Rattus norvegicus: one gene and its partners. The protein of the gene in region 2 interacts with the protein of the main gene of each other region in a pairwise test. Links are inferred from orthologs where the notes say so. Each region holds a gene or a part of one and is shown on either strand. Other genes may lie near its edges.

Region 1 (7,255 bases), on a different chromosome or scaffold from region 2:
ATAACTATGTAGAGTTTTATTGACCACCCAGGCTTTAGCTATAAGGTTCTCAGGGTTAAGAAGTAATAAGGTTCCCTAAGAACATAGCTCTGAAAAAGACCAAATCTTACCCAAACCATGGTAATACAAATGCACAGGGCAGGCTTACCTCTCCCTCAGATTTTACACCCACCACCTTGCCATTTTCCATGATGATGTCATCCACTGGTTTGTTCAGCATGTATGTTCCCCCATAGATGGCACTCAATCTGTAGTAAGAAAAATGATGGGGAAGTCTTCTCAGAAATGTGGGGACCAATTCTACTGTACCCTCCTCACCCCACCAGTGGGGTAGAGAACACAGGTATACAGAGTTTAACTCCAACTGTTTCAGGTGTCCCTCCCATAAACTTAGGGCCCATACTGACATATTCCTTCCTCTCTGGTGTTTCTGTACATATTGTTCTGCAAAGGGTCAACAGAAGGTAGCATGAAGAAGTAGCTCCACATAGAAACAGCCCAGGAGGGGTTGGGGATTAGGCTCAGTGGTAGAGCGCTTGCCTAGGAAGCGCAAGGCCCTGGGTTCGGTCCCCAGCCCCGAAAAAAAAAACAAAAACAAAAAAACAAAACAAAACAAAACAAAAACAAACCAAGAAACAGCCTAGGAGTCAAGAATAAAGAACTCTCTGTAAGAGATTCAAACTCCAGGGAAGCCCAGACACAAGGTTCCGGGGTCCTAGACTTAGTCCTGGTACTACCAAGAGCTGGGGGAAGCTATGTTCATGGTGACCTACTTCTTTACTTTGTATTTCCACCTACTTTTAAAATTATATATATATATACACACACACACATACACACATGTGTGTGTTTTGTTTACGTGTATATCTGTACACCACATGCATGCCTGGTGCTTATGAAGGCCAGATGAAGGTTATGAATTCCCTAAAACTGGAATTATAGATGGTTGTGAACTACCATGTATATTGGTATTGGAATTGAACCCGGGTCCTTGGTGTAAACAAGTGCTCTTATCTGCTGAGCCATCTCTCCAACCTCTACTCTGCACTTTAATGCACTAGGGCTATGCCCCCATTACCCAGGGATACAGTAATATACATGAAAATTAGATGGGAAAGTAGGAGATGCCACAAAAATATTCAAGGTAATTTCCATTCTTGGCCTTGTCTTACCAGTAATGCTAGCTGAAAAAGACAGATCCTCACCTGGCAAAGCCCTGAGGCAGCTCACCCAGGCCATAGAGTGGGTACAAATATGGGCTCTTGCCATACCGGGCCAGGGACTCACTGTACAACTTGATGCGGTTAATAGTCTCAAGACATGGCTGATCCAGGTAACTACGGAAAAAGAACCAGGGAATATGCTTTGATAGCAGCACCCTTGTTCATTTACAAAGACACCAGCCAGCCTTCCCACCACCCTTTGTGACCTGGCAAAGATGTGGGTCAAATGGAGAGGGATGGAAATGGAACAGGTGAGCCTGGAGCTGAGTACAAGTGACATGCAGGATGGGCAGTAGGTACAATAGGCAGGTGTGGAGAGGGTGTGAGCCAGACAAGGGGCTCCCATCACCAGCCAGCTTTCCCCTCACTCATCAGTGCGGTAGAGCGCCAGGGCATGGCCAGTGAAATCAATGACATCTTGGCCCAGGTCAAACTTCCGGTAGACATCACGCATGCTGGTGGTCTGCGGGTCAACACCCTCAAAGGTTTTGGGGTCATTCTCATCAAAGTTTGCCACAAACACCAAAAATTTTCGGAAGCGTCGTTTTTCAAACATGCCCATCAGATCTGAAAGAAAGGTATTGAAAAGATCATTTGCATTACTCGGACATAGAGCTCCTCTTTCTAACAGAGCAGGCCAGGAAAATTGGTGCCTTGGCTCCCACCAGAACTCTCTTATGCAACACTGCTCCACCTTTCTTGGTCTCAATTTTCCTATTTGTAGGAAGAGACCCTCCCAGCTCCACTTAGGGCAAGTAGGCCCTTTGACAAAAAAGAATCCTCTTCTGTGAACTTCCTTTCTGGCAACTTGCCAAGATTGGTAGCACTGTCCAATAAAGAAACTATAAAGCAAGGGGCCTCTAGGACTACACGGAGCTAAGATTAGGTTTATGCAAAGAGGAGCCTTTTGCCCAACTGTCCTGAAAACAGTTTGTCCCCTCCAGCCCCATTCTTCTGCTTAAGGAGACTCATACTCACTAGAAGCCAAGGCCTCAGTCTCAGTAGATGGCACTTTGTAGATCTTGCCCCCTTTGTATACAAAGCTGCCCTCTACCACCTTGAAGTCCAGATAACGAGTCACTTCTGTATACAGTAGCATCTTTACCAGCTGACCTGTGTCCAAAGGGAGTAAGGGTGTGTTTTCCTTCAAAAAACTCTCAGTAGTGTGACTGATCATATTCTGGAGATTGAACACCCCATACCCCATCTTCCTACTCACCACCCCCATCGCCCTTTTTAATCTCCCTCACCATTGGCCATGAGGAATTTGGGGATCAAGTCAACATTCCAGTCTCGGCCCCGGCCCATTGATTCAGGGGGCCCTTCCAGCAACTGAAAGCGCTTATATAGCTGTAAGCAGGACAGGAAAGAAAGACAAATGTCAAGGACTAGCTTCCCTTCCCCACTCTCCTGCCTGGGACCTGAGAACTACTTCCCCCCTTTACACCTATGTGGGGGACTAACAAGGGGTCTGGGTCTAAGCCCAAGTCTGAGAATAAGAAATCTTACCTCCTCAAGGGGTGTGATAGAAGAGCTCTCACCCCCATAGTAGGGGTTTCGGTCCATGTGCAACACCTTCTTTCCATTCACAGACATGATGCCAGACAGGATGCATTCCTGGGGAAAGAGTGGCATTGGCAGCTATACCTCATCTACCCTCCAATGAGCATCTCTGATTTGTCCCTGCCTCATGCCCACTACAAAATTCATAATGCAAAGTCCTACCTCTTTCCAGTGCCTAAAACTGGGGAGGGGAAGATAGCTTCATATGATGTTTCCTTTATAACCCTGCTGAGTAAACTACTAGAGCATTAAAGGAGGCTTGGGGGACAGAGCTTACAGTTCTTCTAGCATCAACAAGCCAAAAGTATCTACCTGCTCTGAGCTCACAAAAAGACAAGACAATGAGTCTACAGAAGAAACAATTCAAAGGCTCTTTGAAAGATAAGGCCAAGTCCTTGAAATCCCAGGCTCCACCCTGCTCCTCCTTTTAAGGGCAGGAGCCCCTGACTCTCTTCTGGCTGTGCATCCACTGCTCTAGGCTCAGGGTTCAAACGAAAAAAGATTTGTGCGGGGGGGGGGGGGGGCGACGGGGACACCGGACACTCTCACCAGTCACTGTCACTAACCCAAGGACAAAGGCTGAGGATATATATTCACTCTGAGGTCTCCATGGGAAACCGAATTGGGGTAGAGGGAAAGCGGTCACTAACACCCCCTCCCTACACACCACACACACACACACACACACACACACACACACACACACACTCCCTCCCTCCCTCCCTCCCGCTGTTTCTGGAACATTCCATGGGTTCCCTATCCCTCCCAAAAGGCAGAGAGGCAGGATGAGGGCCCACCCTTGAAAAGCCCCCATATCTTTATCTTCATACTCCATGCCCTAGTGTGATCACAAGATGGTAAAAGATGCTAATCAATTACTTGAGCAGGTGATGAGTGCAGGCGAAGGGTGGGGTTGGATGCAACGGGTCCAGTGTGTGTGAGGGGGGTGAGTTTTCCACCTCAGTGACACAGATAGGGAAGGTGAGGGGTCCGTGGTTAAGATCTAGGGTGCTGGAATACTGGCCAAAGTGGGGCCCTCTACGAAGAATTGCGAACTGGCATCAACACTCTAGGATGAGGTAGTGGGGTGGGCATGGGCTTTTCCAGGGCTGGAGGCAGGAACGCAATGATGGGAGGATGGGTCGGGTAACCCGGACTCTGCATCACTGCGGGGTGGGGGATGGCATGATGCAGGGCTACGAGCGCCTGAGGTGGCACTTACGGTAAGACCTGTCCCCAGCACAATCACATCGTATTCCTCATCCATGGTCAGGCCTTGGTACCAGCGCCCGCTCTTCTTCTCCTCCTCCTCCTTCACCACAGCAGCTGCTACCAATGCCTCTACTGTTGCTGTTGCTGCTGCTGCTGCTGCTGCTGCCGCTGCCGCTGCCGCCGCACTGACCCAAAGATGGCGTCTATCGGTCGTCTCCCGATCCCTACGCAGCGTCAATGAGTCCCTCTCCCTCCTCTGGCCAAGCCACGCCCAACCAAAGCCACCATTTCCTCGCTTGTTTTCTAGGAGGGGTTCTGGCACCTGGGTCCCAGCACCAGAATGATTGCAGGGGTTAACGCGGCTCTCCGTGAGCCCAGAGAAATACGGGGCGGGGCAGGCCGGCGGCAGGTGCTACGTCTAGCGAAGGATCCTTGCGCGGGAGCTGCGCGCGCCCCGCCCCGCCCCGCGCGCTCCCGTACCGCCCCTGGGAGAAACAGAAAGGCATGGAAGCCCTGCAGTGTGTTGTTGCAGCTGGCCCTAGCGCTGGGAGAGCTGCCATTGTCAGGATTCCTCCCATGGCGAGGAAAAGTAACAAGCCTCTTCTCCGGCTTGTTAAGAGTATCGGCTTACTGAAGACCCTCCCACCCTTCCTCTCTCATTTCTTGCCTGACAGGACTACATCTGAGCAGTTCTTCCCTTCAGTCAAGAACAAATCTACTTGTCCAGTGTAGAAATAAGTGGCTGGAGCCCAACACATGGCAACACGTCTTTATTTTATTAGGAATGAAACAACAGAGCACACCCCCCCCACACACACACACACATACTTCTGGCTTCTTGACAGGCAATCCTTGTGAGAACAAACCAGAAACCCAATGAGTACACTTTGTTCTCCAGTTCTCGTGGTGATTTCTTCCTTCTCAGGTCACAGAAATAAACCCCAGTGTACCGCTCATTCTTAACCCCCACCCGCCAAAAAAAAAAAAAAACCCATAAAGGCTAAGCTGGACAGTTAACTAGCCTTTCCACACCTCTCAAATTCAAGGGACCTCAAGTTCATGGCTATTGCTGGAAAGCTCCATAAAGCTTGGGGAGTGAGTATTTACTACACAAAAGCACTATAAACAGCACGAAATAATAGCAGAGGGGCAAGAATAAATAAGGAGAAAGGGAAAGGGGGGCACCCTAGAATTAAGGTCCCTTCCCCTCTTGATGAAGCCTGGAAGATTTATCTATGAAGAATAATACACTTTGTTGGTAGAAGTGGGGGATAGCCTCAGGGAAGTCCCTGTCCAGGAAAGAGGAAGCAAGACAGGCTGAGGGTGGTGTATGTAGGGTTCATGCTATAGTAGGAAGAGGACAAACCTTTCCATCCACTGTGTCACAAAATGGAAACCTAGACACCAATACTCCCTCAATCCCTCTCTGGTATATGTCACACAATCTGGGTCAAAGTGATGGTGGGGCCCTTGTGGTCATCAAAGCGATCCATGGTCTTTAGGCTGAGTATCATGTGCAGACCATAGGTGAATATGAAAAGCATGAAGAGGGTGGTGAGCAGCCCCATCCAGATGCCCGGAGAGAAGAAGCCAGCACAGTCGCTAGCATAGGAGAACTGTTCACCAGTCACATTGAAGGCTTGGATCTAGGAGATACATAGACATGGATCAGATGGGACCACAAGGTTCTACAAACAGTTCAGTGCTGGGATTCTGGAATTAATGAATAGTTATACCTTCAGAGACTATACAAGGATGGAACTCTCTCGGCTACATGCTCAAACCATGCAGAGATTCTCTGGGCCCTTTTTCCCGCCCCTTATTGCCACCAGCTTGGGGGCCCATCACCCTTTCAATACCTGGAAGTTATGAAGAGTCATCTGCCAGAGGGAGGGCACGTTGGTCACAAGGAGACTGCCTTTCTTGCTCAGACTGCTGACGTACTCACAGTGGAAAGAATAGATACTAGGTCCTGTGACTTGGGAAACATTGAAATGGGCAACCGAGCCATTGCTGTGGATTTCAAGTCGTTCCATGGTAAACCAATATCGGGCAGATACTGGGTAGAAGCGACTAGCCAGAATGAACCTGGGAGGTGGGGGTTGCAGAGATGTCAGATGAACAAAATAGAGTGAAGACATACCAGCCCAGCCAAACTTCAGCCAACAGAACTTACTTGAATGTCACTGTTGCACCAAAGAGTGGTTCATAGGTCAGTGAAAGCCTATGGGACAAGGCACAGGAGTACTGTCAGGCTCTAGAAGAACCTTAAGAAGATCCTGATCAGGTTGGCTCCAACCTAAGCAACCCTAGATCCATCCTTATAGCCAGCCAGCTGTCAATACAGTGTCCCCATTTACCATATGGGAAAACTAAGGCTCCAGTCATAACCAAATTAGGAGCAGCTGGAGCACAATTAGGTCTTACATCTCCAGCTTAGGATTCCTTACTCTGGTTTTCCTGAGTCCTGTAGGCCTCCTTCTTGGGATCATTTAGCTGCCAGCTGAGATTTCAAGGGTAGAAGACCTAGAACTGGTTTTAACAGTTGGTCTGGTATTTGCCTACATGCAGTCCAAGGGGTTGGGTTCAAAGAAGGGCCAGGGTCCCAAAGGATTGTGTGGTGTTCAGGACCCAACAACCAAGACATAAAAGCATGAGAAAGCCAAACTCCTAAGAGGATCCCTCTCCAGTAACATCCCAGCAACATCACCTGGGATACTGTGATATCCATCTCCTTGGTGAACACACCACACAAAGACCTTTCTCACCCCAAACATATATACCTATATACCTACACACACACACACACACACACACACATCCATCCCACATCCTTGTCCTGTACTGGGCTCACAGTAGCAGGAAAACCATATATGACAGGATAACCTTTTTTTCCCTTACATGGCAAAGGAGTCATTCCAGAAGGAGCCGGTCAAGTTAAGATTCTCCACACCAAAGGTGAGGGAGGTCAAGTCTTTCCATTCGTCTTTGTATGCCACAGAGAAGTTTTGTGCCCAAAACAGGATCCTTGGGGCAGTGTCATTGTAACTCACAGGAGGATGGATCGCAGGTGATGCCACCTGAGTCTGAAGCAGCTGGCGACCTAGACCCCCAGCCACCATGGCTACATCACGGGCCACCTGCAGAAACATTCAACAAGCCTTCTCTCAACAGCCCTAAAAACAAAACCTAATCCACTGGATTGGTATTCCTTCCACACTGGGTACCCTGTATACCATCTGAAAGTCCCTAGCCCT
Region 2 (6,773 bases):
TGTGCAACTTGCTCACAGGTGTAGCGGCTGTCAATTCAGCCAAGAAAGAAAGTCTAGAGGCGCTACCTTTCCTAGCAAAGCTGCCTCCTCCCCTCTCCCGTGCACTAAGAGAGGCAAGCCTAGACTACAGCATGCTCACCCTGCCCAAAGGAGCGTAGCAATCATGGCCAGCTCCCTCTCACATGCTCTCCTTGACTCTGGGAGAGCAGTTAGCGAACCCAGCAGGCTGCTAACTCCGCCCAGGCTCTGCCACCCCATGCCTTTATTCTCTTTGATTTTTGTACCTGTTTTTATTCTTCCGTCTCTGCTTATGACTCCTCCGGGCTCAACACTGATGACATAGATGGGCAAGTCCCATTCTCTGTGTGATGCTCCCCCTCCAACGGTCATGCCGAGAGATTCGTTGGGGTCTTTTTGGACACTTACAACCTTCTCATGACAAGTGGCTGCAGGCTGAAGGCACAGACACAAAGAACATGGTGCATGCATTCACCAGGCCCATTTACTCACACATATCCGCGCACTCGCATCAAAAGAGTTATTAGCATCACGAATTCCAGCACCGCAGATACAGCATCGCAGATTCTAAGGGTTGACTCTGAGAGGTTTGCATTGCAGAACGGAATACTAAACACAGAAAGGCCACAGCCTGGGGACCGTGGTAGAAATCTGGATCGTATACATTTGGCTGCATCCCGAATCTCTCAAGGAAGCCACCCACTTCTGATTACAGTAGGCCAACTTCTCAGAACACTCACTGTCCCTGTCAGTACATCTTTCATATTTAAAAATCATATTTATTAGCGGAATGTGTGGAAGCTGAGAAGCACATGCTACAGCATGCATGTGACATGTAATTGTCAGAGGACAATTTACAAAAGCTGATTCTTTCACTCCACCGTGTGGGTCCCGGGGATCAAACACACTCTGGTAAGGCTTGACAGCCAAATACCTTTACCTACTGAGCAATTCTGCCAGCCCAGCAAGCTTCTCTAGGTTTACATTTTTTTCTGACGTAATGGACCTCATATAAACGCCAGCCATATAAAATGGTGGCTAATGTGTAATCCAGAGTTCGGGGATCCACAGAGAGAGAAGGCTGGTTAAGACTAGTCAAATACGCAAGCTTGGCTTAGGCGGGAAGCAATCTCAGTAAAGATGTAGAGAGCAACCAAGAAAGATACCCGGTGTCATGCTCTGGCATCTACATGCACACGCTCACACATGCGCATGCTGTCACGTATTTGTCAATGCCCATATGCACGTGCACGCAAACCATACAGAGGCACACATTGGGCCTATACGTTTTCCCCATTTTTGGTACTTTCCAAACCGCTGAACCAAGTGGCCGAGCACCAGGACTGCGCTTGGCCTGTGTCCCTGATGGCCGTTTGCCTTCCCCACCAGTGGGAGAGAGAACGTGAGAGAGAGACAGATGGTAGTGATGGAGAAACTCGAATCTCTGAGTTAATTCCTCATGCTGACTTGCTGGGTTTGGGGCAGGAGGAGGAACCTTTGGCGGACAAAACTCTTTCTGTCTGACCTGCTCACTCTACTTTAAAAAGCTGACTTATGGGTTGGGGATTTAGCTCAGTGGTAGAGCGCTTGCCTAGGAAGCGCAAGGCCCTGGGTTCGGTCCCCAGCTCCGAAAAAAAAAGAACCAAAAAAAAAAAAAAAGCTGACTTATGGTGAAATAGTTCATATTGATTAAACCATATGGGCACTTAAGTCTATGGAGCATTTATGTTTTAGAATGTTTACCCGGGATTTGGAAGAATAAGACATTCTAAACGTCTAAAAAGCATCAGGACCCTGTAGCTTGATAATCAGTGCCAGGGTTAGTAACTGTCTCTGTGACATGGAGCTGGTCAGATTCCCCTTCTTCTTTCATGATGGTGAACACAGGCCTAAAGATGGCGCCTGTTGGTACCTAACTCTTCACCGGGGTAGAAGCTTTCCTGTCCCACAAACTATGGCTTGCTTTCTTTGGTACTTCTTGGGAGCACTTAAACTCCTATTTTCAAACGCCACATTGTTTTCCTAAATCAGTTTAAAACGTAATCATCAACAGCCAGGTAGATCCCTTTATGGGTGTGGCAGGGGTGTGTAAGGGGCAGGTAGAAGTATGATTGGAAAGAACTTCGTTCCCGGTGGGCCAGCATGTTTCCTGGAATTCAGACACATGACACAAGGTTGTAACAAAGATCTCATTAGACCATCCTGGCTTCCCCATGGCTCATGGTAGGCAGGTAGAAGGAGTTACAGAGTCTCATTGGGGTTTCTGAGATAGCTTCATGGTTTCCAGCACTGACTGCTCTTCCAAAGGTCTTGAGTTCAATTCCCAGCAACCACATGGTGGCTCACAACCATCTGTAATGATATGTGATGCCCTCTTCTAGTGTGTGTGAAGACAGACACAGTACTCATATACATAAAATATATAGCCTTTCTGTGGTATAGGTCTCATTTCTATGTTTAATGAATGAAAATATAACACATTCTACTTAATACAGCTGGTTAGATACAAGCTTCAGGCAAGATTTTTAAAAAATCTCACATATATTTTGACATCAATGAATACTATCAGATAACTTTAAAACACTAACAGTATTTATTATTGGGTAGAAAGTATCAGGGAGTCCTTGTGCATAAAACTTTTTAGCAGGGTACACTTAGCTTATCTAGATTGCTTCCCATACAAAAACATGGAACTCGAGGATTTATCTAGATGCCATTGGCTGGAGATTTTGAATGAAGGTGATCACAGGCTCCTGATTATAAAGCAGAGATGTTTTCTGCAATTATTACTCAAAAAGACCCTCAACCTTTGGCCCGATATGGAAAGAAAAATATGTTCATTCATTCCATCATCTCCGTTTTGGAAACAGGCTACATATAAAGGCGTTAGGTTGTATCCAAACATCGATTTATATCTTTATGGGCATGGCTGTTTTGCCTACTACATGTATGTACACCACCAGGTGTGTGCAGTGCCCTTAGAGACAGAAGAGAGCATCAGATTCCCCGGAAGTAGCGTCATAGAGAGTTGTGAGCTGCTGTGTGGGTGCTGGGAACAACTGGGGGGGTCCTTTGCAAGAGGAACAAGTGGTCAAAACGATTGAACCCCGTTCCAGCCCTGCTTATCTTTAGTAACAAGTACCACGATGACACAAGCTACCAGAAAGAGGAAGCTGTCCATCTTCGTGACAGAGCCAAGGTCAGAGGACTTGATCTGGACTGGACAATGTGTTGATAAGACACCATCAAAATGAACTGCATACTTGCATCTCATAGAAGCCACAGACAAGAACGTACTGGACTGCATCTCCTGGGGCCACTGAGATGGCTCAGTGGGCAAAAGAGCTTGTCACCAAGCCTGCTGATCTTAGTTTAAGCCCTGGGACCAACATGGTGGGAGGGAGGAAGAGAACCAATTGCCACGAGTTATCCTCTGACCTCTACACATACACCATAGCACATGTGTGTCTACGTGTACATGTGTGTATACCTCGCCCTACAAAATAAATGAATAATTTAATATTTTTTTTAATTTCTGGATTTAAATGATGTAAGATAAGACATGTGCTCCTGCCTTGTCTGAGGCCCCGCTCCCCTTAATGCTCCATGCTCTTCAAGTATGACCAGTGTCTTCCTTGTCTTTCGTACAAACACAAACATTAAAAATAGCAGGGGGCGGGGAATAGCAAGGGAATCAGAGTTTCCAGGCAGGTTGGGAAACTCAAAAACCACGAAATCAAGCAAACTGCTTGCCGCCTTTGAAAGCGAATGGAAAACAGTCCTTATGAGGAAGGATTCTTGGTCAAAAGTAGGACATGCATTTGGCTTACACTAGAAAGCAGGTCCCTTAGAAGGCTTGCAAGCTGGGATCTAACACTCCCCCAGCACCTTCCTCCTCACTCCTGCTTGGACGGGAGACACCTGTCACCTTCCAAGTATGAAGACAGGACTTTGGCCTTCTAGTTTCAGGAGTAGTGTTTCTTGAAACGACAAAGTCCAGAGACAGCCCTTAGACACATTAGAGTATACGGCTTTCCCAAGAAATAGCCCCTCACAGGAAGGAGCTGCCGACACGCCTGGCTGGCCCTCACCTTAGAAGATGTGCTCCTCTCCCCTGAGACAGGAGACTGCTGGCCGTTGCTGATGCAGCCAGCTTCTTGAAAGATGTCTGGGCTGGGCTGTCGAACCTGGCGGGACACGACGAGGTGAACACGTCTTTCACTGGCCTGGACAAGAGGACATTCAATTAGCCATGTGCACATGGCCCTACCAGGAGAGCACTTTCGTTTTGATTTTTATTGAATGGAATTAAAGTTTCTAAATTTCTTTTCTTATGAAATGCTGGAGACTCAGCCCCAGGGCTTTTGTGTATGCATCGTCTACCCCCGACCCTCTAGATTTTTTCTTTTTTTTAAAATTGTGGTCCAAGCTGAAAGGACATACTTTTAAAAGATTTGTTTTTAATTATGCATATGTGTGCATGTATGTGGGTATGCGCATGGGAATGCAGGTGTCCTCAGAGGCCAGCAGGGGGGATTGGATTTCCCTGAAGCTGGTGCACAGGTAGTTGTGAGCCACAGGGTGTGGGGGCTGGGAACTGAACTCAGGTCCTCTGCAAAAACAGTGTGCACGCTTAGTCACTGAACCATCACTCCAGGCCAGAAAACTCTAGATTTTTTTATGTCAGTGTCCAGCTTGCACTTCAGCAGAAAGGCCTGACTCAGGCAAGTCTTTGAAGACACACCATTCGATCTTGTTAATGTATGTTTAATGACAAGGTCAGCTGCAGGCTGAAAGGCTTTCTGAATAGAGCAAGGTGCATGGTGTGAAGCAGTCCACACCACGTGGCAGTTCCAGATAAAAGGGCAGCGGTGAAGAAAGAGAAGCAAGGTAAGAGGCAGCGACTGTGACACTGGGGAAACGGAAATGCCGTGACTACCGCTGACTCAGATCCTTCTGCACACAGGTACTGGGCAGAAGATTTGGAGGAACAAAGGTATCGCTTACTGCAAGGGTTCCTAACACGTGGTAAATCGCTGATTAGCTTTCTGCCATGGGTCACTTTCCTGTATCTCTGACTGCAAGTGTCAACCTAGACGTGCCAACCCCCAAGGCATCAGATTTGCGGGGAGGATAGGCAAGACCCTAGGGCTGCAGATCTCAAAGAAACAACGTTGATTCCCCAAACTGAAATGGCACATGGATCCTCCATTACTTCAGTGAGAAATGCAACAAGAGGCATGGTTAGAAAGGCACCTGGGGGAAGATGAAGAAATGTAAGGTCTGGTAGTTCCTCCCCTCCTTCTAGTTCTTGACCACTCACCACAGCAGAGACAGACACTGATACGCACACACTTGCCTTCATGCGTAGCGTTAAAGGGCCTTGGAGAAATCGGGTCACAACAGAGGGCCCGTACTGTGTATCTCCATTAGCTTAGACAGTGGGCACTGAGATGTTTGCCTTTTGCTGGCTATGGTTTGAATGTATGTGTTCCTCATGTGTGGAAATCCTAACCCCCAAGGCAATGGTTTGAATGTATGTGTCCCTCATGTGGAAATCCTAACCCCCATGGCGATGGTATTACCAGGCAGGTCTTTGACTTGGTCCCCATGAATGGGATCGGTGCCCTTACAACAGAGCTTGCCCCTTTCAGCACGAGAGGATACAAGAAGATACCACATATAAGAGAGTCATTTGGGGATGGAGCTGTTCATTCCATGCTCAATCAGAAAATGCTACTGAACGGCCCAACAAAGGAAGCTTGAGCTCTGCCTGCTTTCCTTTGTGCACAGCCCTAACTCACTGAGTCAGTGCTTACGTGTTCTTCCTTCGCTAGCCTATCCAGAATTCCTTGGGTTACCACATCTGAGGCTTGCATTAGAACAGCTCGGGTAACCCATCAAGAAGAAAGCTGACACAGAGCTCTGGACCTGGCCAACAGTTCCGTTTCTGGAAGAGAGTGTTGTAATAATGTATCTTTTCCTCTGGATTGCAAGTCTCACTTACCCTACGAGGTTATCTTCAAGAACTCTCTGAAGTAAAACTCGTGGGAAGATAAGTAGCAATAAAGAATCAGGTCAAAACCTCAATCACTGAGCCCAGTTTGCTCTCTTATCTTGGAGGGAAACTCCGCACTGTTGAGAAGGCTGTTGGCAGTGCTTTTGCTCTGGGCTGGAATTGTATCCTGCTTGTCTTGGCCAGTGAGCAGAGCATGTTCTGAGCAACACCTTATAAGAAATATAAACGCTGGAGAATCCCACATGGCTCAACTCACCAGGCAAAGTCCAAATTGCCAAGGAGCAGAGTTCACGAGCTGTTTGCTTCACGTTTTTTAGCACAGATTTCTCATCGGGCTTTCAAATGCTGGCTCGAGAATGAAGCGTTGGCAGGATCGGCACCCCGATCAATAACATGGGTATCAATTTCCTCGCAAATAAATTCTCTGCAGGGTTGGATCTGGGGCTCTTACCAGCCACCTCGTGAATTGTTCACAGGAAGGCCATTCCGTGCACTTTCTTTCCTAGCCCTCAAGATATGAAGTAGGCTAATGTGTTTGTCCTGGCGCTAACTCTCAGGAGCAGCTGCAGGCAGACTTGAGAAACAGGCCCAGGCACTAGGGTCTTTCTCTCCACGGGTGTGACTGTGCTATGTGAAAGGGGAGACACAGCAGAGGCACAGAAAGGGTGAAAGCAGTGCTCCTTGATTTCACACCTACGGATATGCAGGACATCGTGCACAGCAAAGTTGGTGTTTT
Region 3 (7,490 bases), on a different chromosome or scaffold from region 2:
CCACCAAAAACACCCAAAGCTCAAAAGAAATGCATATTCACACTTTTCTATCTAGCTGCCTTCTTATCTAGAACTGTGTAGCAGAAACTGAGCCAAAGGAACACAGAACCAAAGCTGTTTAACTGGAAGGGTTCAATACTTCCTGCTATTGTGTAGGTATCCTAGAACTGCTTTCGAAAACACTAATCTTGGACACTAGTTTTCAGAAATTCTTAACCACTATCATTTTTATGATCATACAAATTAGTGGGTTTGGGAATATAGGTCAATGTAATGAGTAATTAAAGTTCATAGATCTAAGAAAATTGTCTTTTCCCTTCGCATTTAAAGGCTCATTTTCAGTTCCTGAGAAAAGTATTTGCTTATGTATTTCTAGTTGAAAGACTAGTATTGTGTCCTATAGAAGGACATTAGTTTAAAACAGTATCTCACCAGATACATGTGAAGTCACTGGATTTGCTCGTGACAAAGTTGCTTGTTTGTCACTTTTTAAAGTTGCAATCTTGTTAAAAACCAAGAGTTTTGCTTCCTCTTGATTAGCAGAATGACCCACTTAGTTTTACTTCAAGGGATATTTTGTGTGGGATGAGGTCATTGGGGACATGATGTTTTTCCTGATTGTTAGTGTTTCATAAACCGACCTTCACATTTTACTTGCACAATTGACTTATTCATTGTATGTACCAGTTTCATTCCTTCCTTCCCAAGTCATCCCCGAACCCTTTGGTGCTATGGATGAAACCTGGGGTACTCCAAACACCAGGCAACCTCTCCTATTCATGTTTACCTGCACCTGAGAACTGTTGGATAGGTATTTTTATTTTACATATTATTTTTGTTGTAAAAGTAATGAGGAAGACAGAACTAGTAAAAATGCTCACACTGAATATTCAAATCAAAGAGTAGTTTATTTTTTTAAAAAAGAATCAAAACAGAAACTCTAAGTACCAGTGTGTACATTGTACACATTTAAATGACTCACAAGAATGAAGTTTTGTTTTTCATATATAAAGATGATACCACCTTGTTCTTCATCAAAAGATGTTCAAGAATTCTGCCTCCAAACCACATACATGACTGCCATTTTAAACAGACCGAATTTCAAACATGCAACAACGCCACTGGTAATAAAGCTTTGGAATGGATGCTCACTCTATTATTTCACTACAAACGAGATAGAAAGCAAGGGAAGTTGAGAATTTATTCTAAAGCACAATGGAGGTGGTCATTGTCTATACCGGCACACCTCACTCCTCTGCTGCCATTTTTAGCAAGTATTCTTTGTCAATCTTGAATAGTCTCCATCCCTCTTCACTGGACAGATCCGAAGCACCTCTTCTTTTGTAGAAGTTGATAGATGGTTCATTCCACTCTGCTACCAAGAAGTGCATACTGCTGCAGCGACACTTCATAGCAACCTAGTACAAGCAAGAGAGAACATAAGCCCAGTAACATTTCACCCTCTTGCCAAGACCCAAATTTGATTCATTAATTACAATAGCCCAATAACTCTTACAAATTCAGAAGCCCAAATCTAGGATATCTGGTCCCAGCTCTAATCCCAGCACGGTAGGTGAAGACAAGCTTGAGGCCAGCCAAGGCTCATAAGGAATACTAGGCTATGCAGTGAAAAGCTGGTGAACATACCTGGCTTAGATTCTTCAAAATTTCTGATCCTATACCAAAGCCTAAAAGAAAGAAATACAAGTCAACTTAGTCATTTTAAGGCCATAGGGCTCTGATTCCTCTTTTCCTCTAATCCCCAAAGTCAACTGTACCTCGGTAATCACTCATCACAAAGAAGTCTTCAAGATACAGTAACTTGCCAATCCATGGGTCATAGGTAAAATAGTACATGGCAAAACCAACAATGCTGTGTCCTGTAATAAGAGGATCCCATGAGATGCAAGAAGAAAAACAACCCATTCAAGCTGTATCGGCAGAATCAGAAGCCTATTGTAGATTTTTAAGAAAATAGATATGCATTCACCACTGCAACAAGTAGCCAGGAACTGGACTGCCTCCTTATGTTTATGTTAGTACAGTCCAGATGAACGATGAATGATCTCTCTGGTCTCAGACATGTACTTGCAAAAAGCACACATTAGAGATAGCTAAAGCTAGGCTACACCTGTTGACTGGCTAGTCTCCAGTCTGCTGAACTCACACTCAGGAAATGAGAACATTTTCATTACGTGCCAGAGCAAAAGGGCCACAGACTTAAACTAAACACACATATTATTCACATCCTAATGACATGCTGGTATGTTGGCTTGGCAAAAGTTGGGTTTACACAGCAGTTTAGAAGAGGAAATACTTTTAGTTCACCAACGCTTGCTTCCTTAAGGTCAGAATACCAGGCCAAAAGTACAATGTTTACTTTCAGAACTTGCCCTCCCACGTATGAATTTTCAATTTACTTCCCCCAATCTTTAAGGCAGGAGAAATAGCAGTAACCAGAAACAGGTGTTACCTAACACCCACATACTTCTAAATCTTATCTCATGCCTCATGTGTTCTGATTATCTTCTAGCCTAAGGAACAGACACCAGAAGACTCAAGAAAGCACCCACCCACAACTTCCCCTTTTAGCCGTCTTCTGACCAGTCAACAAGGGCCAGCAAAAAAAGTAAATACATAAATAAAAATAAAAATAATTAAAAACAGACTCCCTCATAAGGAGTGTCAATTCAATTCCAAATGGAGGCAAAGATTTCAAATTAAAGGCAATGGTTGCAAATTAAACTTTCTAGGCATTTTCTATTTCTTTGCAGACAGACAGGAAGCGAATATAAATTTCTGATCTACCGTGTTTTAAGTGTGTGATAATAGGACCTTACCTCATTTATCATGATCATCTACTTTATTGTGTAAAGGATCTTTTAGTTACCTCCCCGCCCATCCATGTACACAGAAGGGCCATGTACATGGCGAAGCTAGAGACTGTAACCTGAAGATTGGGACAAATTAAAGAAAAAAATGTGATTTAACACAATTACAAAAAAGAGGTTAGGTTAGGGTCAAACAAAAACCATTTTATGAAACGGAATTACAACAAATGACATTATACCTAATTTTTCCGGGTTTCTACAGCACTCTGATACTTGCGCAAACAGCTCTTGTAACCCGCCCTATTATAAAGTACACTACATACATTTTTTCCCTCAGTCATTTGCATACTGGCTGGCTGTTATTTCCAGCCAGCTCCTCAGTAACCTCTGCCCATGTAGTCACGGGTTCTGCAAAGTAGGCTCTATGGTTTTGATACAGCATTAGTTCTCTCTGGCTTCTGGACAGGGAGAAGGGGTTACCTTCAGGGGTCCAGTGCTCTTTAGGCACTTCTGCAACCAGGCAGTGGTAGAAGGGGTGCTCTCCAAAACCATCCTCTAAGAGATCTGTAAGATGGGGGAGGCAGAAACTGTGTTGAGTTGACCTTTGGAGATGCGGGGAAACAGATACCTTGTCCCCCCTCCCTTCTCCCCCGCCACGCCTTTGTTACCTTTCTCAGTTAAAACTACTTGATCTTCCATGTATTCATATTTAGCCAGTTCCTGGGGACGACACATATAAAAGAAAGGACAATGAAACTCCTGGCCAACCTGGCCAGCTCACAGGAGGGGAAATGGGGCAGGCGGGGTCGAGCGGTGACTGAGTTCTGCCTGGCGCCGCACTGCTGAGTCTGACCCGGGCTGGGGTTAGCAGGCCAAGAAAGGGGAATTTACTGGTCTGGCAGCGTCTCAAAACTGAAGATGAGGATTTCCCCGGGAAACGGAGCCTCCCCTATCCTCTGCCCTAGGGAGATCTCGGACTTTTCCCTACCTTGATCAGTCGCAGGATGTCACTGCAGTCAGAGGCAGTGGCTGGACGGATCTTAAATTTAGCCATTTTCGTCTTTTGCTTTTCTTCCCTTTGCGCACCAGGCCCCTGTACTTGAACAGCAGGAGGAGGTGGTTCCTCATTCGTTTCCCGGGAGCGTCCTCTTCTCAGTCAGGCTGGCACCATGACCCGGCGAACCTCAGTAGAAGACAGAAAACTGGCAGACTTACTCTGGGGAGCTGCGCAGCTACAGTGGCAAGACAGTGCCTTTTAAGTATGCAGAAGCTCCTCCCCGGACTAAGAGACATAGAGATCTCGACCAGTAAAGATGCAAGCCTGAGGAAGCACCGCCCTCTGTTCCAGACACCGCCCTCTTCTGGGCTTTCTCGTGACACCATGACGCAAACCTGGAGGGCGGGTTAGGGCGATGTGCGCTGCTGCCTTGTTTAGCCTCGAGTTCTCTAGCGGCGCCTTGCGGACCCTTCCCGGAAGCATTTGAATGCCAGCTTGTCCCCTAGTAACCTTCATAAATAGAAAATGTGGATTGCCTCTGTGACCCCGACATTGAGAAAAGCAAACTCAGGAAGCCCAACTTTAGGGTATGACAGAAAGATAAGAGCAGCCATTCCCAAAGTGTGGTCTGGAGGCATAATTTTCCTTTCCCCTCTTGTAATTTTCCACAGGCAGTTCATTGAGATGTAGTGATGTCACCGTTTTCATGACTAAAGAAAGGTGTGGGTTTGAATCTTGTTTGGATTTTGAGACAGGGTCTCTTTGTGTAGTCTTGGCCATCCTGGAACTCACTATGTTTCAACAGGCTGTCCTAGAATTCACAAATCACGTAGATCTGCTTGCCTCAGTCTGCCCAGTGCTAGAATTAAAAATGTTCACCACAGCCTTCTTGTATTTTCTAAGGTCAGAAAGGTCCTTGATTGCTTTCCTTCTAGTTCAGTGGTTCTCGACCTGTGGGTCACAACCCCTTTGGAGTCCCATATCAGATAGCCTATATATCAGATATTTACATTACAATTCATAACAATATAACAACAGCAAAATTACAGTTATAAAGTAGAAATGAAATAATATTATGGTGGAGGGTCACCACAACAGGAGAAACTATATTAAATGATTGAAGTATTAGGAAGGTTGAGAACCAGTGTTTCGATGGCTAGATTTAAAATGTTTTCTTCCTTCCCTCCTTCCTTTCTTTCTTTCATTTATGTGTTTATTTTTTGAAACAGGGTTTCTCTGTGTAGACTCATCTGTCTTGTAACTCTACACCAAACTGGCCTGTAACTCAGAGATCCTCCTGCCTCTGACCCCAACCACCTGGCAATGTTTACTTTCTTAGCTCCCCTTCATTTCCTTCTTAAAACTCTGTTCTTCCCTGTCGACTTTCCTTCTGAAGGAGAGAAATACTTGATCATTCCCTTCAATGATGTATGTCATCTTACATTATTGAAAGGTTTATTTCACTGCTTATAGATTTTGAGATTTTGAGGTTTGGAAGTTTTCTTTCCGCACACTGATATCTGACTATTTCCTGGCTTCCTTTGTTATCAGAAGCTGTGGTGGCACTTACTTGCTCCAGTCCATGTGCGTCTTTTGTTTCCTTTAACTTTTTATTTCGAAATAATTCTAAACGAACTGAACGTGTCATGATAACATTACTCCAATGATTACAGGGATGTGTGGCTCTGTGTTATGTTTTCTACCATTTTTAAAGATAAGGAAACTTGAATACACTAACTTTTAGATGCCCAGAGATCAAAATATTTGGAAGCATTTGGGTTTGCCTGTTCCTGGTCATACCCATTGGAAAAGTAAGTATTCATATCTCTGGGGAAGGACCTTTCTTTAACTATGGACTTTCCTGGACAGATCCTTTGAGTGCCCTGCTTCCATTGCCTTTCCTGGATTCTATAATCAGTCAGAAGAGTTATTTTTTTTTTTGTAATGAGATAAAGTATCAGATAGTCTTCAGCATCCGGTCTGTACAGTGAGGGGTTGGACTACTACCACATAGCCACTCCTAATATTTAGTAAGTGACTTGGCCTTTATTAACTAGTAATATCCTGTATGTAGAAATGAAAGCAGAAAAGCATTTTCTGTTACCCCTCCTACTCTCCCATGACTCAATGCCTTAGTGAGTCACTATGAGAACTTATGCAATGTTTTTTCACAAAGAGCTTTAAAAATAGTACCAATTCTACCTGAGTTACTGCCAGTGGTGTCTTTCCTGACATGGGTGACCAGGCCCTTCCCTTCATTTCTTCTGTTTAGAATGCTAGAGCACTCACAGGAGTTTGTCACATATTTACTGATAGCAATATATTCGATTTCTGTGACTCAACACCAAGAATAACTTCCCAAAGAAGCAAAACTAAAGTCATTTTTCTATTTAGGTTTCTTAGTGTTTTAGAATCGTGATTGAACCTAGCATTTGACAAACTTTTATTTGGTTAATGAGTCACCATTTCAACTTGTTCAATCTTATGTGAGGTATTTGGGGATTATAAAAGGTCACTAAGTGTTACAACCAGCCTTAAAGTGTACAGTTTACTTTTAGAGATGTGTTTGTAGTTTATTATAGTGTATTTGACTCTATGAAAAGGGGAATTCCAATCACTGAGATGAACAGATGAGGAGAGTGAAAGGAAGAAAAATAGCCAAAGTAGTGGTTTTATTCTTTGCCTTGTTTCATGGTTACACAAAGTTCAGTGCCCCAAAGATTTTTATGATATTTCATGTAGACCATGTCACCAGATGTACCAGAAGTCAGTTATTTGAAAACAGGTTGCTCTATGTCATTCCTTTTGTATTGTTTATCGGTTACATCCTAGAAAGTCACCTCACAGAAAGTTACCACACACTCAGTTGTTTAAAATAACACATATTTATTATTGCAGAATATATGGGTCATGAGTCCAGGCATGGCTTCACTGAATCTTTTGTTAATTGTGTCAGGTAGGCTATATTCTGACATAGAACATATCCAAGTTCATTCAAATTACTGACCTTGACAGTAATCCTCCCTCCATCTGTCACTCCCTCCCTCCCCCCCACCCCCTGTTTTTGTGAGATGAGGTTTCTCTGTGTAGGCTTGGCTGCCCTGTAATTCAGCCTGTACACCAGGCTGGCCTCCAACTCACAGAGATTCTCCTGCCTCTTCCTTGTCCTCTGCCTCTGCTTCACAAATGCTCTGCTTAAAGGCGTGTACTACCACTGCCCTGCATCATCTCTGTGTTAAACAGATTTATTTTGTAAGTAGAGGTATGCCTGTATATATGTGCATATGTGTGCGCGCATGCATGCTTGTGAGTGTGAATGCAGGTGCCTGAGAAAGCAAGAAGAAGTCATTAGATAACCTAGAGCAGTATTTCTCAATCTGTGGGTCGTTGCCCACTTGGAGTAGCATATCAGATTTTTTTTTCTTTTTTTTGGAGCTGGGGACCTAACCCAGGGCCTTGCGCTTGCTAGGCAAGCGCTCTACCACTGAGCTAAATCCCCAACCCCGCATATCAGATATTTACAGTCATGAAGTAGCAATGAAATAATTTTATGATTTTGGGTCACAACAGCATTAGGAACTTTATTGAAGTGTAAAAGCATTAGGAAGTTTGGGAACATAGCTCCAGAGCTAGAGTTTCAGGTGGTTGTGTCCTACCTGATG
Region 4 (7,241 bases), on a different chromosome or scaffold from region 2:
GGAGAAAGAGTGGGCCAAGGTGGGAGGAGAAAGGTGAGGCTGGACGTGAAGCCGGGGCAAATGAGAGGTCCTCATCATTCAAGGGTAAGCCTCCTGTTTGTGGAGCAGGTCTGAGAGGTGGGATCTAGGGAAGGCCTGGACAAAGCTCACCCGCTTTCCCATCCCCTGCTCCCATTACCTTGTCCTGTGAGCATATGAAGTTCATCTGCTCTGTGTATCCCCGCTGCCGCCGAAGGGCAGTGAACAGGAAGTCCCAGTAATCCTTCCGAGCCCCCAGGAAGCTCCTCTGCTCTTTCTGGTCAAACTAGGACCAAGATGAGAGAAAGGAACATATGTCAGTGGCTCCTTCTGGAACCTACCTAGCACCCTGGCATGCTGGGAAGGCACATGGTAGAAGAAAGGGCTCCTGAAGACAGGCCTTTTTGTTGAGGGAATCTTCCTCTGCCCTCCCTGGCTGTGTGATAGGGACATGATACTTGATCTCTCTGAGCCTGAATTCACACTCACTCATTCACAGACACTGAGCACTTTACTATGGACTGGCCCTGACCTAAGGCCCGTGAATGATGACCAAGGCCTGCAGAGGATAAAGGAGTTAAATTCTCAAAGCAGACAGAGTGTTAGATAGTGGGATGGTTTGTATATGCTTGGCCCAGGGAGTGGCACTATTAGAGGGTATGGCCCTGTTCGAGTAGGTGTGGCTTTTTATGGAGTAGGCAGGACACTGTGGGTGTGGGCTTAAGACCCTCATTCTAGCTGCTGGAAGCCAGTAGTCTCATGCCAACCTTCGGATGAAGATGTAGAACTCTCAGCTTTTCCTACACCATGCCTGCCTGGACACTGCCATGCTCCCACCTTGATGATAATGAATCCTCTGAACCTGTAAGCCAGCCCCAATTAAAATGTTGTCCTTATAAGAGTTGCCTTGGTCATGGTGTCCGTCCACAACAGCAAAACCCCAACTAACATAGTGATGGTGGCTGTGGAGGGAAAAAGAAAGAGAGAGAGAGAGAGAGAGAGAGAGAGAGAGAGAGAGAGAAGAAGGAAGAGGAGGAGGAGGAGGAAGAGGAAGAGGAAGAGGAAGAGGAAGAGGAGGAAGGGGGATGTCTGAAATTTTAGCCTGAGGAAGTCTCCAGACTTGAGGGCCATGTGCACTGATGTCATACAAATATCTAGGGAATAGCATTCCGGATAGAGGCAACGACAGATAAATGCCCTGAGACAGGTGCAATCCTGATGTGCTATGGGAGGTGGAGACAGTGTGGTAAGAAGTGCAGCTCCCTGTCAGGAAGTCAGAGGAGGGAGAGGAGGCATATTTATGTTTATATATCAAGTCTTTCAGGAGGTAAACATGAGAAAACAATGAAAACCAGTCCTAGCTTCTGGGAGAAAGTTATGTCATGAAGGACTTGCTCACTGAGAAAGCAGACTGTGCCTGGGAAGGGAGGAAGACAGTGGCTTGGGCGTACAACTGGAGAAGCTTTCTAGGGTATTGAACGGGAAGGAGTTGGCAGGGTGGAGAGGGAGGGTGGAGGGTCTCACCTGCAGGAGCAGCTCCAGGCAGCCACAGAGTCTGTGTAGCTCGGCACTTGTGTCTGTCACTGGCCCCTGCCCGTCCCCATATCCCTGGAGGATGGCAGAGACAGCATCTGGGAGGAGGATGGTAGAGAGCCATGAGGGAGCCAGGCCTGAGGAGAAACCCCTCCTACAGCTTAGCCACAGAAAAACCTCCCAGGGCAGCTCACTTTTCAAGTTCCTGCTGATCTTGAGGATGGTTTCCTTTTCTGCCATGGAGACTTGAAAGTAAGGTGACCTCCTGTGATTCTCTGGGCTCGGCTGCTTGCTTTCCTTACATACAGATGGGTGAGGGTCTAGACTTGAGAGAGAACGAGAGCATACCAGGGTCACACAATGAGTTAACTGGAGGAATGAAGTACAATTCTTTTCTTTTCGTTTCTTTTCTTATAGTTTACTGAGTATACTGCAAGGAATCCCAGTTATTTTTTCTTTTTTCTTTCTCTGTGTGTCTCTCCCTCTCCCTTCCCTCGGTCTCTGTTTCTTTCTACCTCTTTTTCTCTCTGTGTGTCTCTGTCTCTGTCTTTCCCTCTCTCCCCATCTCTCTCTCCCTCTGTCTCTATCTCTGTCTCTGTTTCTCTCTGCCTGTCTCTCTTTCTCTGTATCTCTGTCTCTCTCTGTGTCTCTCTCTCTGAGACAGGGTTTCTCTGTGTAGCCCTGGTTGTCCTGGAACTTTGGTCTAGAGACCAGGCTGGCCTCTGCCTCCGAGTGCTGACATTAAAGGCATGCTCCACCACCACCCAGCTGCCAGTTATGTCTTGAAGACTGATGTATAAAGATGTGAATGTGGCCTCCACTTATCGAGCCATTGCTGGTTTTGGTCACCCTGACCATTGCTGACATTTTTGTCTCATTCAATCCCCTTAGTAGCCTCCAGTACAGTGTTGACACACAGTGACTGGGCACAGAAAGGGTAAATCTCAATCCAGTATCACAAAGCTGTAAGCTGAACTCAGATTTCCTTAGGAGTCGGAGAGATGCCTGTGCCATGGGGACACCCAGCTGGGGAACGTCACCTCCTTTCCCCTTGGCCAGCCCATGAGCCTCAGCAGAGTGTCATTGCCTTGGGACCCACATTCATCCTTTCCAGAGCCCCAGCTGAGTGGAAAAATGTATGTTCCCCGGGAAAGCAGGCAGAAGTAGACAGAGGGTGCAGTGTAGGAACTGAACCCAATGTTGGCTGTGGGGAGTGGGGTACCTGGTTTTAACCCACCACCCTCTCTTGTAGGACTCTACTTCTGTCTCCGAAGGGTCCTTGGACTCAGAGAGGGATACTGTTGTCCTTGAGGGATGATGAACTTAGGCTGAGATCCTGTCATCAAGGCCAGGCCAGGGGTCCAGCCTCCCAGGCAGGAGTGATGGAGTTTGTGGGTGGGGTAGCTACCCTCTAATAGTGGATCACGGACGAAAGAAAGGAAAAAGAAAGGCAAGGAGAGCAGTGTGTGAAACCAGGACTGGGGGGGGGTCAGAAGACAAGGGTCTCATCCTGGACTGGTCACCCTTTCTTAGGCTCCACTTTCCTCATCTATAGATCAAGGATTAGACAGTTCTCTACCGACATTTCCTCAGGGTTCCTCTACCCGATCCCCAAGCCCAGGGACTACCGTGCTCACCTGGGAAAAGCCTGTCTGGTTGGGATGTGGGCAGGAGGATTCTGTTGCCTGAATATGTCCCTTGTGACTGTGGGCTCTGCAGTCTTTCCCAGTTCTCCTGCCTGGGGAGTGACTCAGGCCCAGCCTGGAGGGGGCTGGACTAGTCTTGGCCAGGGAGAAGTAGTAGAGAAAGATCGAGGGCACAGAGGCAGAATGAGCGGCTCCTTCAAGCTCATCTGGCATAAGGCCAGTTGGTGTCTCAAACACAAACGCAACAAGGATAGGGGCTTCCTTTCCCTGGCACCTGCTCTTGTCTTTCTGTCTTGTTGCCAGTAGATGGCGGAGAGAGGCTGACTGAAACGCTAGGGGGCTCGGTTTTCTTTTTTGTTTTTCCCCCTCGAGTTGTCTCTTCTGTCATTGGACTGGAAGTGGCACAGGTGGGGAGAGAAGGCAAATGGCCACCAAGTATCTTTCTTCTTCCTCTTACCCCAGCCAGCAGCGGGATCCCGGCCAGTGTCGGGGTACCTTCCTTCCAGTCCTGGTACCCACTTCCCCGGGATGGAAACCTCAGGTGGGCTGCTCGGTGTAGGGTGGCCTCTTTCGCTGACTTCACTCAGCTTTCTGGTGCTGGGGTCATCCTTTTTCTATGCCAGTCTGACATGGGGCGGTTGGTCCTGGTGACTGGAAACCAAGGGTTAGGGACTTCAGAGCTACTTTCATGAGTTCGAGGAACTACCTGTAAGCAGGGAACAGAGCGATCCCCAAACCTGCTGTTCTCTGCTCCACGTCCCGCCCTTCTTCCCAGTGCAGAGCCGGATCTACCCCTGGGCCCCCCTTGTCCTCCGTGCCATCGTTTCTGTCCCTTCAGATCTCTTCTCTGGTGTCAGTCTCTCAGTCATTCACTAGTCACGGCGTTGCTCTCTTTCACGCGCTCCCAGCTCAGCCAGTCTCGGGGATTCCGCCACAGCCCCTCCCGGGTTCCCGCGCCCTCGGGTCCCCTCCCTACAGACTGCCTCCAGCGTCCGTGTCACCGCCCCTGGCCGGGCCCCCGCACTCCCACTGCCTGGCGGAGCGGTAGCGGAGGCGGAGGCGGACTCCCGACGGGGCGGGCCGGGGGCGTTGCCCTTCTCCCCACGTCGCAGACGCCTGGGGCCGAGAGGTCGCTGGGGCTGGGGGTGGGCCGGTTCGTTGGTAGTCCGCGTCCCCGCCCCGGGCCCGCCGGGTGCCGGGCCGGATGGGCTGCACCGTGAGCCTGGTGTGCTGCGAGGCGCTCGAGCCTCTGCCTTCTTGTGGCCCGCAGCCCCCCGGGACTCCGCCGGGCCCCGCGCGGCCCGAGCGCTCTGAGCCCGGGGGTGCGGCATCCATCCAGAGGAGGAGGCTGCTGCTTCAGGTAGGGAGCTGCGGGCCGGGTGCGGGCAGCAGACACAGCAGAGCCCGATCCACCTGGGACAGTAAGGAGTCTGGGAAGGTGTAGGCAGGAGAGTGGGAGGGCCCTGCAGTCAGTTCCATGGAGGTCACACCTGGGCCTCTGGTGTCCTTGAAGGGCAAGACGTTGGTGGCAGGTCTGTGATCCACTGCTACCGAAATTGAAGCAGGAGGATTATAAGTCAAGGCCAGCATAGTGAGATCGTTTCTCAAGCAAACTAAAACCAATCCAAACCCCAAACTCAAACTCCCACAAACACCAAAACCAATAAAACAAAAAAGCCTAAACAAGCAAGGGGAGAGAGAGAGAGAGAGAGAGAGAGAGAGAGAGAGAGAGAGAGAGAGAGAGAGAGAGAGACAGAGACAGAGACAGAGAGAGACAGAGAGAGACAGAGACAGAGAGAGACAGAGAGAGAGAGAGAGAGAGAGAGAGAGAGAGAGAGAGAGAGAGAGAAGCAAGTGGCAGAGAGGGGGAAGCAGCAGGCAATTAGTGAGAAATTGGAACCACCCAAAAGTTCTAGGGTGAGGAGGGAAAAGTTAGTATCCTCTTACTTGGGGTAGGGAGGCAGCAGGGTCTGAGGAGGTGGGTGGGTCCATTAGAGTCCCTCTCCTCTCTCCTATTGTTTTCTGGGTGAGTCCTGGAACCTGGATGTTGAAAAGCGACCAGGAGCAAAAAGTGTTGACCAGGAAAGCAGGCTGGCTGGACACCCCAGGCTTTGCATAGGCTCCGTGGTTTCCTGGGGGGGGGGCGACAGTGTTTTGTATCAGCAGGGACTGGCCAGTTCTAGTCCATCCCCGGGAGAACCCTAGTCTCCTTCTCCACTGGGACAGGGGGAGCAGCCGTATGGGATTGTTTACTGACTTTGTTCTGGGCGAAACTGGGACCCTTCAGTTCTTTCTCCACTGGAGGCCAGCAGAGTTAGTGTTGACTCCAAACGCATCCTGCCACCACATCCCAGCACCTCCGTGTGGACAGACAATATGGCAATGTGTGCTTATGCACATGTTTTTGTGAGTGTGTTGAGTGTCGGCGACGCCCCTCTGCACCACTTGACTGGCTGTCCCTCTAGGGTGCAGATGATAGCATAGTTGTGGTTATATGCCATAGGCACAGGCATAGGGTTGGGAACTTGAAAATGAAATGCCCTATCCAGCAAGGTAGCAAGCAGGCAGTGACTGGTCACAATGAAGGATATATCTGGGGACAGATTCTTATCTCTGTCTTAAAGTGGCTAGTGTCCTAGCTAGATTCTCATGGAGCCTGGGGGAGGACTCAGGGAGCCTGGAAGTAAGAATTGGGTATCCCAGTTACTGGTGATGGGCACAGAACTGGGGTGACATGATAGAGCTCTTAGACTTCCTGTTCCTCTAGAGTCATTAAGATATCCTTTCTCAAACCCCACCCCGGCTCAGAGCCTCTCTCTCCTCTACTTTGCAAGATGTCCAGGGTTGATGAGGAGGCAATAGCCCTCCCTATCTCAAATCCCAGCTTACCCCTTAGAGGGTGAGTCTGAGCTGCTTGGGGGATGGGGATTCGAGTAGAGAACCCTGGGAGGCATCTCACTGTACTCCACTGTACCTTGATGCTCCTGTCTTCTGCTTGTCAGAGCTCTCCAGGCTGACCATCCACTTCCTTGTTTCATTCTGCTGCTCTTCAGACATGGCCCCAACCCTTCTCTGGTCTCCATGGGCTCAGAACTCTTACTCCCTCCCATTCTCCCTGCAGCCAGCTTTGACATGGTGGGGGGATGCCCACTGGTCATGTGATGGTCGGCAGGGATGGATAATTGGGGCTGAGATCTGAGAGAGAAAGCAGGGGCACTGGAGGTGGGTGAGTCAGGGGAGGAGGGGGAGGGATTTGTATGTACCCTGTGTGACAGCGACAGGGACAGGGATGTTTATTCAGGGACAAGTGTCTGTCTGCATTTGGATGAGCTTGTTTTCCAGGGGCCTCTTGGGAGAGCTTGCTGTGACTCATCCCCTCCCTTATCTGCATGGATAAGGCTCCATCTCAGCCATGTGCCCAGGTCCTGGATCAAGCAGGGGCTGCTGGGCTGGCTGCTCTTTCTTGCTTACCCAGCACCCCACTCACAGGCAACTCTCAGGAGACTATGCAGCCCAGGAAAGAGCAGCCTCTGCCTATCACCGGGAGCCCTTGCTGGAGGAGGTGTGATACTCACGTTCTTGTTCTGGATAAACATCTCTTGGGCTCTCACCCTCCCAGGAACCCAGTTCAGAAGCCACCAGGCATCTGGGCTGGCAGCCAGGGCCCTCCTACTGCCACAGACACGTGCCAGCCGCCATTCCTGCCTAGCCCATCCCATGGGCCAACTTCTTGCCCCAAGGCTGGTTGGGCTCATGTCCCTGACTCCCTTTTCAGCCTTGCTATTCTCCTGCTATCGATGCCCCCTTTGCCCTCTGTGGTACCCCTGTCTCTTTTGCAGGTTACCTTCCTCATTCTGCTGAGAGGCCCCCCCCTCTTCCCACCCCTACCCATTCTGTCTCTACAGCCATCACTACACTGGCAGGCCTGAATCTGAGACCTGATCCTCCTCCCTGTTTGGAGGGTGATGCCTGCTCTAGCTTTGCACTACCTGAGCTTGGACCCCACACACCCCTCAGTTAGCTTTTTTTTTTAAGTATTAATGT

The links. The genes of interacting proteins can lie anywhere in the genome.
Region 1: the proteins of Lnx1 (region 2) and Gdi1 interact in binary tests that used the Homo sapiens proteins (3 or more experiments, as listed by UniProt). The two-hybrid records come from large-scale screens. The link is inferred for Rattus norvegicus from reciprocal best matches to the Homo sapiens genes LNX1 and GDI1.
Region 3: the proteins of Lnx1 (region 2) and Sat1 interact in binary tests that used the Homo sapiens proteins (3 or more experiments, as listed by UniProt). The link is inferred for Rattus norvegicus from reciprocal best matches to the Homo sapiens genes LNX1 and SAT1.
Region 4: the proteins of Lnx1 (region 2) and Rufy4 interact in binary tests that used the Homo sapiens proteins (3 or more experiments, as listed by UniProt). The two-hybrid records come from large-scale screens. The link is inferred for Rattus norvegicus from reciprocal best matches to the Homo sapiens genes LNX1 and RUFY4.

Annotation. Positions count from the first base shown.
Region 1 is NC_086039.1:157,235,822-157,243,076, reverse strand, and holds the start of Gdi1 (rab GDP dissociation inhibitor alpha), read right to left. Parts: upstream 4,178-7,255; 5' UTR 4,054-4,177; coding exon 4,009-4,053; intron 2,841-4,008; coding exon 2,733-2,840; intron 2,574-2,732; coding exon 2,474-2,573; intron 2,337-2,473; coding exon 2,202-2,336; intron 1,791-2,201; coding exon 1,592-1,790; intron 1,338-1,591; coding exon 1,206-1,337; intron 249-1,205; coding exon 149-248; intron 1-148. Other genes in the region: Atp6ap1 (V-type proton ATPase subunit S1 precursor), read right to left, coding at 5,435-5,644, 5,858-6,086, 6,175-6,222, 6,900-7,138. UniProt on the Homo sapiens protein: Regulates the GDP/GTP exchange reaction of most Rab proteins by inhibiting the dissociation of GDP from them, and the subsequent binding of GTP to them. Promotes the dissociation of GDP-bound Rab proteins from the membrane and inhibits their activation.
Region 2 is NC_086032.1:33,953,962-33,960,734, reverse strand, and holds part of Lnx1 (E3 ubiquitin-protein ligase LNX), read right to left. Parts: intron 4,245-6,773; coding exon 4,110-4,244; intron 454-4,109; coding exon 285-453; intron 1-284.
Region 3 is NC_086039.1:44,004,776-44,012,265, reverse strand, and holds Sat1 (diamine acetyltransferase 1), read right to left. Parts: upstream 4,178-7,490; 5' UTR 3,886-4,177; coding exon 3,820-3,885; intron 3,552-3,819; coding exon 3,500-3,551; intron 3,396-3,499; coding exon 3,312-3,395; intron 3,164-3,311; exon of another isoform or gene 2,841-3,163; intron 1,881-2,840; coding exon 1,779-1,880; intron 1,689-1,778; coding exon 1,648-1,688; intron 1,419-1,647; coding exon 1,248-1,418; 3' UTR 894-1,247; downstream 1-893. UniProt on the Homo sapiens protein: Enzyme which catalyzes the acetylation of polyamines. Substrate specificity: norspermidine = spermidine >> spermine > N(1)-acetylspermine. This highly regulated enzyme allows a fine attenuation of the intracellular concentration of polyamines.
Region 4 is NC_086027.1:83,149,075-83,156,315, reverse strand, and holds the start of Rufy4 (RUN and FYVE domain-containing protein 4), read right to left. Parts: upstream 4,178-7,241; 5' UTR 3,655-4,177; intron 3,620-3,654; exon of another isoform or gene 3,189-3,619; intron 1,877-3,188; exon of another isoform or gene 1,872-1,876; 5' UTR 1,792-1,871; coding exon 1,746-1,791; intron 1,650-1,745; coding exon 1,543-1,649; intron 305-1,542; coding exon 179-304; intron 1-178. Other genes in the region: Tns1 (tensin-1), read left to right, coding at 4,402-4,557. UniProt on the Homo sapiens protein: ARL8 effector that promotes the coupling of endolysosomes to dynein-dynactin for retrograde transport along microtubules. Acts by binding both GTP-bound ARL8 and dynein-dynactin.